Linked DNA regions of Drosophila melanogaster. The protein of the gene in region 1 interacts with the protein of each later gene in a pairwise test. Each region holds a gene or a part of one and is shown in the gene's direction. Other genes may lie near its edges.

Region 1 (3,304 bases):
CGAGGCGGTGCAGCTGCTCCTGGACATGGTGGGTACATCTGCCAGGCAACCACCGCTTGGGCTCTAAACATGAAATAACCGCCTTTTCTTCCACAGGGTGCCGACATAAACCTCAATCAGCATGGAGCTGATTATACGCCACTGCATTTCGCCGCTCTATCGGGCAATACACATGTGTGCCGGCTTCTTTTGGATGCTGGCATCAAGCCGGGTAGCATCAATAGTGTCAACAGGACCGCCGCCCAAATGGCCGCCTTTGTGGGCAACCACGCCTGCGTGGAGACCATCAACAACTATGTGACCCAGTCGAGTTTGGAGTACTACACCCAAGTGCATGGCCAGCAGACGGAGCCGCATATACCACCCAGCTTACTCAAATCGTTCCACGCCTTTGTCACCGAAATCAACCTGCATCCCGTGAGGATTGCCCTGAATGTGCAGTCCTTGGGATTGCTTAGGATCCTGTCCAGTCTGCGCAAGACGCTGGCTTTGATGTGCGAAAAGGAGATGCAGAAGTCGCATGACCTCAACGAGCTGCTGGCCTTCAAGTTCCATTATCAGGGCTGGATTTTGGCCGAACTAATACGCTGCGAGGAGCAATTCAAGGCGCAGCACAAGGAGAAAAGTGGCGAGGAGGCGGGCGATGCGAACAAGAACGATTTCATCGAGATGTTTGTGAAGCGGGTGCTCAAGGAGAACAAGCTGGGCCAGCTGGACTATGTGGAATACACGTTGCGCGAATGTGCCAGGGAGTTTCCCGTGAGAGAGTGCACCATCTTCCGGCAAATCGCAACGCAATTTGGCGCCAAGGATGCCCCACCAGCACTGACTGTCCTGCGAAATGCCATCAATGGGATGAGGTGGATTACGGTGGGTATCATGATCTCATAATCAAATGATTCTTTTCTAATCTGGAAAACTAATTTTCAGGACGAGGGCAACTACTGCAGCACCTGCGGCGCCGAGAAACCGGACAAGAAGTGCTCCAAGTGCAAGGCGGTGCAGTATTGCGATCGCGAATGCCAGCGGCTGCATTGGTTCATGCACAAGAAGAACTGTGCCCGCCTCCTGGCCCAATCCCAAGCCCAAGCCCAAGCCCAGCCGCAATCGCAAGCGAAGGGAGCCATTGACACGGCCGAGCTGCGCGAGGAACTGTCCAAACTGACTGCGTAATCCTGTGCTCCTTTGTAACGCCAATAAATGTAACATAAAACCAGAAACCTAGCATTTTCGCGTACTAAAAGATTGTTAGTACCAAACTGTCAGATGTCTACACAAATTAAACTAGATAATAGTAACGAAAGGCAAAATTGCACGCTACAAATTCAATTAAAGTCAAAACATACAACAAACTGCCCAAAAATCGTATATCTATCGTAAAATAATAAAGAGTAATAATGGAACAAAAAAAAAATAGAAAAATAACTCCTTTTGAAGGTTATTAAAATTATGGTTATTTTACGTTTTAAATCGAACATTTCAAAAATGAAGTTTTTAAAATAGCAGTATTTCGAACACAAAACTAACAGCATTCATTTTCGAATGTTAAGTTAACAGCACTAGCGGCATTCGCCTGAGTGTCTGTTATCGATTTCGAAAATTCGAAAACGAACAGCTGATGCCAGTTGAATTTTTCTTGTTTAATCTATTTGTTGCTCGTTGCTCGTGAAAACCCGTTTAAAACAGTCCAAAATGGTGCAGGTTTGGTATATGGATACGGAGGAAACCGATCAGCGCCTGGAGCACCACCGCAATCCGCCTGCCTACTTGGAACTGGATGATCTGTACCAGAAGACCGGCGTGGAATACTTTAAGGCAAGTGAAAAGCGAAATTGCGACTTTAAAAACCTTAAGTGACCTTGGGGGCGAGCTTATCTTGATCATTCACATTTGCAGATCAATGCGGACGAGTACCAGAGCGATAATACCCTCACGGAACTGAGGGCAAAACGTGGCTACACCTACGATGATGAGGCAAGATCGATGTTTTCTTGAAAAACATCTACCGAACTTTGGTAAACTTCGAATTATTACAGATCACATGCTCGGAAAAGTGCCTTCCAGACTATGCCAACAAGTTGAAAGCCTTTTTCACCGAACACCTGCACACGGATGAGGAAATTCGCCTGATATTGGAGGGATCCGGTTACTTTGATGTTCGCGAGTAAGTTTTGTTTATTTACACCGCATTTTATAGTATCCCAGCCACATTTTCCCAATTAAATAGTTCAAGCATTCATATTCTTACTGATATTGTTTTTGCTCACACTAATAACATTTTTGGAATTGTTTTAAAACGGAAAACTATTTATTCTTTATAGCAATGAGGACAACTGGTTGCGCATTAAGGTTGTCAAGGGAGATCTGATCATTATACCAGCTGGCATATATCACCGCTTTACTTTGGATACCAATGTAAGTTATTTTGACAATCTTATATACAAACTTAAACTATTTGTATTGTTTTTTCTTAGAACTTTATCAGAACTCGTCGCTATTTTGTGGGCGAACCTGTCTGGGCTCCACACAATCGTCCTGCTGATGAAATGGACTGTCGCAAATCGTACATCAAGCATCAGTCGGAAAACTTTGTGCAATTCAATAAGGTTTAAAAACCTTAAATCTTATCTTTTACCATCAAGTTTGATATTTTGAAATATAAAATCGCTGTGTATAATCAATAGTTTCAATAGTTTTTTGTTTAACTTACAATTTTCGCTGATTAACGTAGTTTTGATATAGAATTCGAAGTCTATTTTCTATATCAATAAACCCCGCCAAAAACTTGATTTCGAATTTTATCTCTTAGTTGGTTGCTGCATATGCTAAACGTACTTTCGAACTCGAATCTCAGAGAGTACAATTCGCGGTATGACCGTACCAGCGCCGAAGAGAAAAAACAGCGCAAGTATATAATCCCAAGCGCCAGCGAAAGTATCGAGCCAACATCGATGCGCGTGCCATCGCTAGGAAGGAAAACAAAACAAACACTTTTTTACTTTTTCATCTCTCGGATCGTTCGGACGTGCTACGCGGTCTCGTCTGTGTGTGTGAGGTAGTGTGCGTGAGCGGAGCGGCGAAAAAGCACAATTGAAATTAAATCGAGTCGTTATCTGTGGATTCGGCGGATACAATACAATATCGTATCGTTATCTATTTACAAACAAATCGACGTGGATTAATAAAATGCCGCACACGAATGCTTAAAGCGGCCTATCTGTGTGTGTGTACGTGTGTGTCTATGTCTTTGTGTGTTTCACTCTCTCTTTGAAATAGTAAACAAATTGCGTATAAAGTTTACAGC
Region 2 (3,423 bases), on another chromosome or scaffold:
TGCCCCACCAGGACGCAGGATTCTACGACAGGCGGTACTTTAAGAATGTTTCAACTAAATTACGCCACTAGTCGGCAAACAACAGTGATGTGGAGAAGGGGTCGGAGATGACAGGACACTGGGGCTGACATCATTTCGCTTTGCAAATTGTTTTAGTGTCAAAGGTCAAACACACACTTACACCCGAGTGCCAGCGCCATATGACACGGCGAAGTGCAGCCGTAAAAAGGATCCCTCCGCTGTTCTCTTTCCTAGTTTCCAGCGCAAATCTGTTGAGCAAGTTTTAGTTTAAGCATTTTTGAGCAACATGAGATCCTGGGCGGCGGAGGACGAGCTTCGCTCGTTAGCGGCGCCTGCCAAAAACTTTGCCAGTCACGTCAAAGCTGCCTCTCCAACAATGCTCCCCAATCCTCCGCCAACCCACAAGCACTGCCCTTCAGGTGGCTTTTTTTATTTCGCGGTATCTCCAAACACTGGGGAACACGAAGCCAAGCGCTTTAATCCTGAATCCTGGCCGGAGGCAGCTCATGACTTGCTGCAATTTTGGGACAGGTGTGTCCAAGGTCCAAGTCTCGGATTCCATCCAGCAACAGCAGCAGCAGCAGCTGCCAAGTTTGCGTGTTTTCCAATCTTTTCATCGTTTTTGGGGCTCTTGGCTTGTTTGGCTTGCCATCTCCAAATTAGGCGCATTTTTGGCGCTGTTTTTTCTTTTTTTGTTTTTGCCTACCAACTTTGGTATGAGTTTTGCTGTGCAGCGGGCCCGGCTAATAGCCAGCCAAACGCTGGGTGGAGTCATCATGGTAGTGCGATCAATGGTAGTCCCATAATTTAAGCATCCATTGGGAACTGAAATCACAACAACTATATGGTATATCACAGCTTAAATTCTTAATACTATTAAGCAGATACAGATAAAAGTCATCCCCTTATAGTAAGATTATTATCCTTATACCAGCTGAACTGTCAAACGAAGATTGTAATTATTAATTTCTTTCTTGTATCTTTGGTGACCCGTCGACCCACACAGATGCTATTCCACAATTTAAATTCTTATTTCGCCGTGGCCATCAAACGATGCCGAAAAAGTTTAAATTAGTTAAAGAACTTCATTAACTGAACCGTCGAAAAAGATTGACGTTTTCGACTCGTGCTGCGCAGTGGATAACGCGAGCTCGTGGAAAATTATGAAAATTATAATTACCAGCTTAAGCTGGCCAACCCGGAGCACCAACTGCCGACTGGTAACTGGCAACTGGCAACTGGCATCCCATCCAGTGAGCAGTGACCGCCAGCCACCAGATATTATCGCCAAAGCCAGTAGCTGTTTATTTTCCGAGCATTTCAACACAGTGGCTGCCGTTTGGTCCGTCTCTGCAGCATCCAGATTGTGTTTTTTATGGCCTGTCGTAGCCAACACAAATCAATTAGATAATGTAGCAGTGTCGTTGGCGTCCGCCGCATTTGCAATCACAGTCCCTGATATCCCATGCATATTTATAACCGTCGCAGAGTGCATTAAAATCAAAGCCAAGACAAACGATCGCGGGCTGGCGATAGGCCTAGGTCGGGGAATACGCTTGCATATTTAAACGGTGGGGCATTTTAATGACTGTCGAATAGCATCGAAATCAAATCAACAGCGCTGCGACAGCAAGGTCGTTCGTTAACAGGGGATTTCTCTATCTACCTTGGCCAAAAACTGGGTCTATTTCGTGGGAGGGGTAAATGCAGTGCCGCGTCTTCAACTATAAAAGCCAGATTGTGCTGAACTCCCAGCATTAGTTCCTCCTGTCAGCTCCATTTGTACACAGCTTCCAGTCACCATGCGTGCTTTTATCGTAAGTGTCTAGAAAATAAGGGAATCGAATAATACAGTATAAAACTAATATTTAACATCATGCAGGTCCTCTGTCTGTTGGCCGTGAGCTGCAGTGCCGATAAACTGGGCTACAACTACCAACCCGTGGCACATGCCGATGAGGGTCTGTCCTTCCTGCCCGGAAGTGGTCAGGTGATTGGAGAACTTCCGTCGCAGGTGCTGCCCGTGCAGAGTGGCGAAGCAGTCCTCTCCCAGCCCATTGAAGCACCTGTTGCTCCCCAGATTGCACCTTTGGTAGAGGAGTTCCAGAAGGAGTTCTACAGCTACGCCGCCCCCGAGGAACAGTACGATGAGGGTGCCAGCAACCAGCAGATCGCCAACTCCCTGAAAAAGAACCTCCGCGTCGTCTTCATTCGCACTCCCGAAAATCAGGGCTTCGAGCGCGCTGCCCTCCAGTTGGCCAAGCAGTCTGCTCAGCAGGAGACCGCCATCTATGTTCTCACCAAACAGTCCGATGTGTCCAACCTGGCTAAGCAACTGAATGCCCTGAAGACGAGCTCCACCAACAAACCAGAGGTGCACTTCGTCAAGTACCGCACTCCAGAGGATGCGGCTAATGCCCAACTGGCCATCCAGAACCAGTACAACCAATTGCCCGGCGTGTCTCGCATCTCCAACGAGGGTCGTGCTCCTGTCCTGAACTTTGCCTCGTCTCCAGCCCAGGCTGCTGCCATCCCAGCCGTTGCTGCAGCTGCTCCCAGCTCGGAGTACCTGCCCGCCAATGTGGTGGCTGGCCAGGATTACCTGCCACCCAATCTGCGTCGTTTCCGCGTCAAGTAAATGGTCTCAAGTGAAATTTCAACGGTAACGCTTCCTATCCCAGAATATCGCATCGAAAAAAGAAAACACCTAGCTACTCCCATCACGTGCAAGTTAACTAGCTTTTAAGTATCCATGTAGAGGAATAAAATTTGTTTTGCTGACAAATTCCCGATGTGAACTGAAAAACTCATTTGCAGCCTAATTGCAGGATTCGGCCATTTCCATGCTGCGGAACCGAACCTTTCCGTTGTGCGAGTTTCTCTTTTTGCCGGGCAAATCCTGTCTGCGCATTCGTGCGTTGTCCTTTCACATAAAATCCCAGAAATAATAGCCTGGATAAAGCGGCTGGCATGTCATAAAGTCCAGCAACAAGTTGAGCCACCCACATGACACCCACTCATATTGCCTCCCGGGAACTGAAACGAAACCGCACCCGCACAGTCATGGATTCTCCGGCATATGCACAATGGTTTTATCCCATCCGCCATTTGTAATTGGAGTTATTAGATTCGAAATGAAGTGGTTGCAAAATGGCCCGGTCTAGACCCGGTTACAGTATCCGTCCACTCTTTGTAAGCCTGCTCGTAATCGGTGTCTCTCAGTGATGGGAAAACTAGGTGAGTGCTAGGTACAAGGAAACTTTCCAAACTATTATGGGTATATGCTATATGAAAAGCATTTGCTATGTACAATATATATTAGCTGGTGGTCCCCAAGTTTGCAAGCTTAATTTCATGCTAATTGTATACAAGTACGCTTCAGGTTTTCAAAGCTAATAATCA
Region 3 (4,981 bases), on another chromosome or scaffold:
TGGCCATCTTGGAGCTTCATACTTGTTTTTTTTTTTCACCGATGGAGGCTCTTTGTGCTTCATCCGGAGGGGAGTATGTGTGAAGAGTAGGCTGATCAAACAGGCTTTGGGAAAACGGCAACTAAGTGGCAAATGCGACGCAGTTTCAACTCGAATCTAAATATGTAAGTATACACATACGTATGTACATATGTAGGTGTTGCCGCATACATATTATCAATTAGCAGTTCAGAACAGTTCACTGGCTAAGCAGATCGCTGATAACGTGGTCGAGAATCGGCGCAAACACGCGCCGCCCTCGGGAGCCATGGGAAATAGTTAAGTTGTTTGGGACTCCGCCGGGCCTTCTGGGCTCCGATCAATGGGTTAGTCGGACGTGGCCAGATAAGCGGGCTGCGGACCTTGAAGAGCACCAAATGCAAAGTGAACCGAGACTAATAACCGGGCGAGGTCAACCCATTGTAGCCAACCATCCAACTGACCTACCTTAAATGCTTAGTTCACTCGACTTCGAAAGGGACGTGACTCCTGGGGCTTCACTCCAACTCCAGTTGCTGCGCTTGCTCTGTTTTTTTTTAGTGCACTCAAACGAAAAAAACTCGATCACCTGCAGTCGCGAGGAGAGAACTGTGAACCGTTTTGCACAATGTCTGCGATCGCACTGAAAACGAAACAAGGCACGGCGTCGGCATCGAGTGTTTTTAGTTTTAATCAATTTTAAATGCGAAGGCGTCGTGTTTTGCCGCTGTGTGAGTGGCTACCACGCAGCACACACACATGGGAAAGCCGCTCGTGCACTGGAAGAAATGGCACGGATCTGAAATGGATTTAGGTACAAGTTTCCTATTCATTCAGTTAATATATCCAGAAAACATAAATACTAAATGCTACTGCTTAACTTTGGGTACATTAAATTCAATTCCTTGTAATGAAATAACTAGGTACATACGCATTGTTTGGAATGTGCTTGTTTCTCCAAGTGTACGTCATATGTGCGGTGTAGCAATGAGTAGTATTTCCAAGAGTTTCTTGGGGTGCTGCCATAGTCTGGAAAGCGTCTGGTTTCTACATCTGTGGTACACTGGTACCAAACATTTGTTTGTTTTGATCGCCGTTTCTTTTAGTTGCTTTCATACATATGTTTTGGACTGTTTTGGCTAAATCTGTGCGGTGGATACACTTACCTTCTACCTGGTGTTCATCGCAGATCAGCCTTGTCCTCGCCGCACTTCCGCCCTCGCTCTTTGTCACTCTTCTCGGTCTTGCCTAGTCTTCCTTTCCACTTTTGCCTTTTTATTGTGCTCCGATGCATGTTGATTGTCGTGGACTTTGCACCCTCAGTTTTCCGCTGTTGTAATGCTCGTTTTACGCATTTACAGGAATATAGTCGACTAGGAAAGCACTCTTTACCCGTTTAATCTGGATTTGTCAGCCGATAATTCAGTGGAATTAATTCTGTTGAATTCATAAATAAATAGATAAATTGTATGATTCATTAACCTATTTATTAATTGGTTGATAGCTTTGGGATAGTGATTAAACTCAAGCAATTCACCGATGCAATCTATTGTCTTGAAATGATAAGAATTGAAAGAATGTTGCTATGAATTTAAAAATCTTTAATGAGTGGCTGCCACTTTAATCTAATTCCACGTAATCTTAACTTTCTGAAGGTGCTGGAAACCCATGACACTTTAATTTTCAGAACATTCAACCTAACTATAAATTCAAATCGAGTGGCAGCTCCGATAACGGTCACAGCTGCTAAGACCAGGGCGGCACACTGTGTGCTGTCGCCCGATAACTTCTTTGTTTTGAACTCACGGGAAAGCAACCCTGCGTGTGCTCTCGCCAATTGGAACTGCGAATATACTGCCTGTGTATATATGTAAATGTTTATAATTAGCAATTTTTCTACGAAACAAACGATTAAATAATGCAGTTTTCTGCCTACTAAATGCCAAATACAACACACAGACTTCGAGCCACGAACGGTGATGTGATCAGAGTACTAGAGTAATCCAACGAAAAACGCGAGTCCATTTTAAAGCGAAGTATAAAGTGCCAAACAAAGGGAGCAGTCGAACCCAGTCCAAATCCAATCATTATACTCGGTCCGTGACCTGCCGACGAGCCAGCGAGTACGGCAATAAGCATGGGCAACGCCAGCTCCTCCGTGCACATGCAACGCGAGCGCCACAAGTCGACCGACTTGTCCACGCCGAGCTCTCCCGCACATTTCCGCGATTCGATTGGTGGAGGAGGAGCGGGACAGGGCGGGAGTGCTGGCGCAGCAGCTCTGGGCGCTGCAGCGGGGGCGGTGGGAGCTGCGGGGGGTGGAGGAGGAGGCGGCGGAGGCCAAGCTTTCTCGTTCGACAAAAAACATACGGCAGTCTTGAACGAGGGCTCGTCGCAAGAAGACGACGACCCGTACTACACGGGAACTGGAACTGGATCCACTAGACGAGGCACCGCACACGACGACGCGACATCAGCTGTTACCCGAGACCACTCCAGCATGGACAACAACGAGGAGGAGGAGGAGGCAGCGGTAGGAGCGGAGCCAGCGACTGGATCTCAGTTAACCGGCGATGAGGACGACATCCGGAAGACGGCACTGCCCACAGTTCTGCGGTGGGACGGCGGCGGCAAGAACGTCACCATCTCGGGCACATTCTCCGATTGGAAGCCCATGGCCATGGTGCGCAGCCATCAGAACTTCGTGACCATCATAGATCTGCCGGAGGGCGACCATCAGTACAAGTTCTGCGTGGACGGCGAGTGGAAGCACGATCCCAAGCTGGTCAGTTGGGCGGAAAATCAATATATGCAGCAGGCTATTCAGTGTTTTTGATTCGGGCGCCCGAATGACGCAGTTACCGATTTTCGCCCCGGGTTGTGTAATCGCCGTAAACAAAACGAAGTCTCCCAGTAATCGTAGTGGATTTCAATTGGGTTCAGAGATGCTCATCCGGCTTTAGCTTTTTTTTTGTTTTTTTTTTGAGGAACCCCGTTCAAATGCTTCGCAAATAACAAATGCAATTAAAGTTACAAGTTTAAGGGAGCAAACTGCGATAAAACCCATTTGTAGATTACTACTAAATCCGGTTGGATGTCGCTAGTTTTGTGGACACAGTTTATCTAAGTGACCATTGAACATTGCTATCAGGCGAACAATTTGAACTATAGAAAAGATTTAAGGGAATAGTAACGTTTTCTTAGATAAAATATTTTTCTGGATAACAAAGTTCAGGACTGTGATAGAATATATGACCTACTTCGCAATGTTAAAATAGTTGCAGAATTGCATGAAGACGAAAAGCAATCAGAAATGAATTACTAAATGCACAGACTTTAAATCTTTATTAAGAATAGTTCACGAAGCTCACGTATTTAAACCATAATGGTTTTAATGACTAATAAATAATGTAGTTTATCTGACATTTAAATTAGTAAGCAAAACGAAAGCAAACCATTGAACAAATTTTTGTATTATATATATATGTAGCAAGCCAAATTGTTGTATATAATTCAAAATTGCTCGAAACAAGTAGCAACAGTACGTTATTAATTATAGAAAGCAGTCATTGCCCAGCCACATTTTCATGAAGTATTGCCCAATTTTTGTTTTATCGCAAACTCAGCTATCAAGTTTCATGAGTTTTATTGAACTCAACCCGAGGCCTGCAGATATTGTCCCAATTGCCCAAACTATTGTTACAGACAATTTGATTATAGCTTATCGGTTTGCTATTTTAGAAAAGCGTGGAGAACGCCGAGGGACAGAGAAATAACTTAGTGTCCGTGCGAGAATCCGATTTCGAGGTGTTCCAGGCCCTAGCCAAAGACAGCGAGAACGTGACCAACTATGCGGAGAAGGAGTACTCGCAGGAGGTGCCGCAGGTGAAGCCCTGGGAGAAGGTATCTGGCCCGCCCGTTCTGCCGCCCCATCTGCTCCAGGTCATCCTCAACAAGGATACACCGCTATCGGTGGGTATTGTCGCTGTCTCGAGAGCTACCGACCGTAACCTTACCCTATTCTGTTTCAGTGTGAACCCACTCTGCTGCCGGAACCCAACCACGTGATGCTTAACCACTTGTACGCCCTGTCTATCAAGGATGGCGTCATGGTCCTGAGTGCCACGCACAGGTATCGCAAGAAGTACGTCACCACGCTGCTGTACAAGCCCATTTAGGCAACTCGCAATTGGTATTTTAGCTGTAGGAACATGGTTTTTATGAGGGATACCACGTCCCGCTTGTCAAATTTACCTTATTATGAGTAAAAGTGTTTTAGTTTTCTCTCTATTAAGCGTTGTATTTTTATTAGTTATAAATATACGGAACTTGTAAAAATATAAGATTATTGCATTGTGTCATAATTTGTAATTTGTATTTGAATTTACTACGAATCGTACAGCTTATTTGCAATTTCAACCTGATATGTCACTAAAGTCACGATCTAAGAGTAATTTAAGCAACTATGCATATTGACTGACTGATAATTTGGTTCCCTGTTCGCTGTATATAAGTATAACAACACTTTGGATTTTGATCAACGTTTCATATCACATGTGTACAAGAGTCTTCGCCGACGGCAATCTATCGGAATACAAACATTCTCGTATATCTACGTGTTCAACTGGACAAAAACTGAACTAGACTAGCGGACCGACCGACCGACCGACCGACCGACCAGCTTCACATCAGCTTGACCTTGTGGTCCAACTGATCGGCGTCGATCTTCTTGGCGAACAGCACCGGTGACGAGGAGGCCAGCGCCACCGTCTGCTTGGCCAAGAATCGCTCGTGCATCTTGTTGGCCGTGTGCTGGAACTCGCCATCCTCGTCGAACAGCGCCTTGGTGAAGTACTCCGTGAAGAGGCGGCCCATGTACTGGTCTTTGGTGGACGGCCACCAGCCCTCGAGGAAGCCGATGTGCCCGCCACGAGCCGTAATCACGATGGCCACATGGGTGCAC

Evidence for each region.
Region 2: the proteins of Adi1 (region 1) and TwdlD interact in a two-hybrid assay, tested with the Drosophila melanogaster proteins (one large-scale study listed by BioGRID).
Region 3: the proteins of Adi1 (region 1) and alc interact in a two-hybrid assay, tested with the Drosophila melanogaster proteins (one large-scale study listed by BioGRID).

What each region holds. Positions count from the first base shown.
Region 1 is NT_037436.4:10,661,754-10,665,057, forward strand, and holds Adi1 (acireductone dioxygenase 1), read left to right. Parts: upstream 1-1,622; 5' UTR 1,623-1,692; coding exon 1,693-1,815; intron 1,816-1,896; coding exon 1,897-1,974; intron 1,975-2,036; coding exon 2,037-2,164; intron 2,165-2,321; coding exon 2,322-2,415; intron 2,416-2,474; coding exon 2,475-2,612; 3' UTR 2,613-2,682; downstream 2,683-3,304. Other genes in the region: CG8003 (uncharacterized protein), read left to right, coding at 1-28, 97-870, 931-1,173. UniProt on the Drosophila melanogaster protein: Catalyzes 2 different reactions between oxygen and the acireductone 1,2-dihydroxy-3-keto-5-methylthiopentene (DHK-MTPene) depending upon the metal bound in the active site.
Region 2 is NT_033777.3:26,638,252-26,641,674, forward strand, and holds TwdlD (TweedleD), read left to right. Parts: upstream 1-1,773; 5' UTR 1,774-1,823; coding exon 1,824-1,838; intron 1,839-1,903; coding exon 1,904-2,659; 3' UTR 2,660-2,803; downstream 2,804-3,423.
Region 3 is NT_033778.4:9,134,774-9,139,754, reverse strand, and holds alc (alicorn), read left to right. Parts: upstream 1-1,821; 5' UTR 1,822-2,155; coding exon 2,156-2,803; intron 2,804-3,759; coding exon 3,760-3,990; intron 3,991-4,049; coding exon 4,050-4,196; 3' UTR 4,197-4,380; downstream 4,381-4,981. Other genes in the region: Hydr1 (alpha/beta hydrolase 1), read right to left, coding at 4,702-4,981.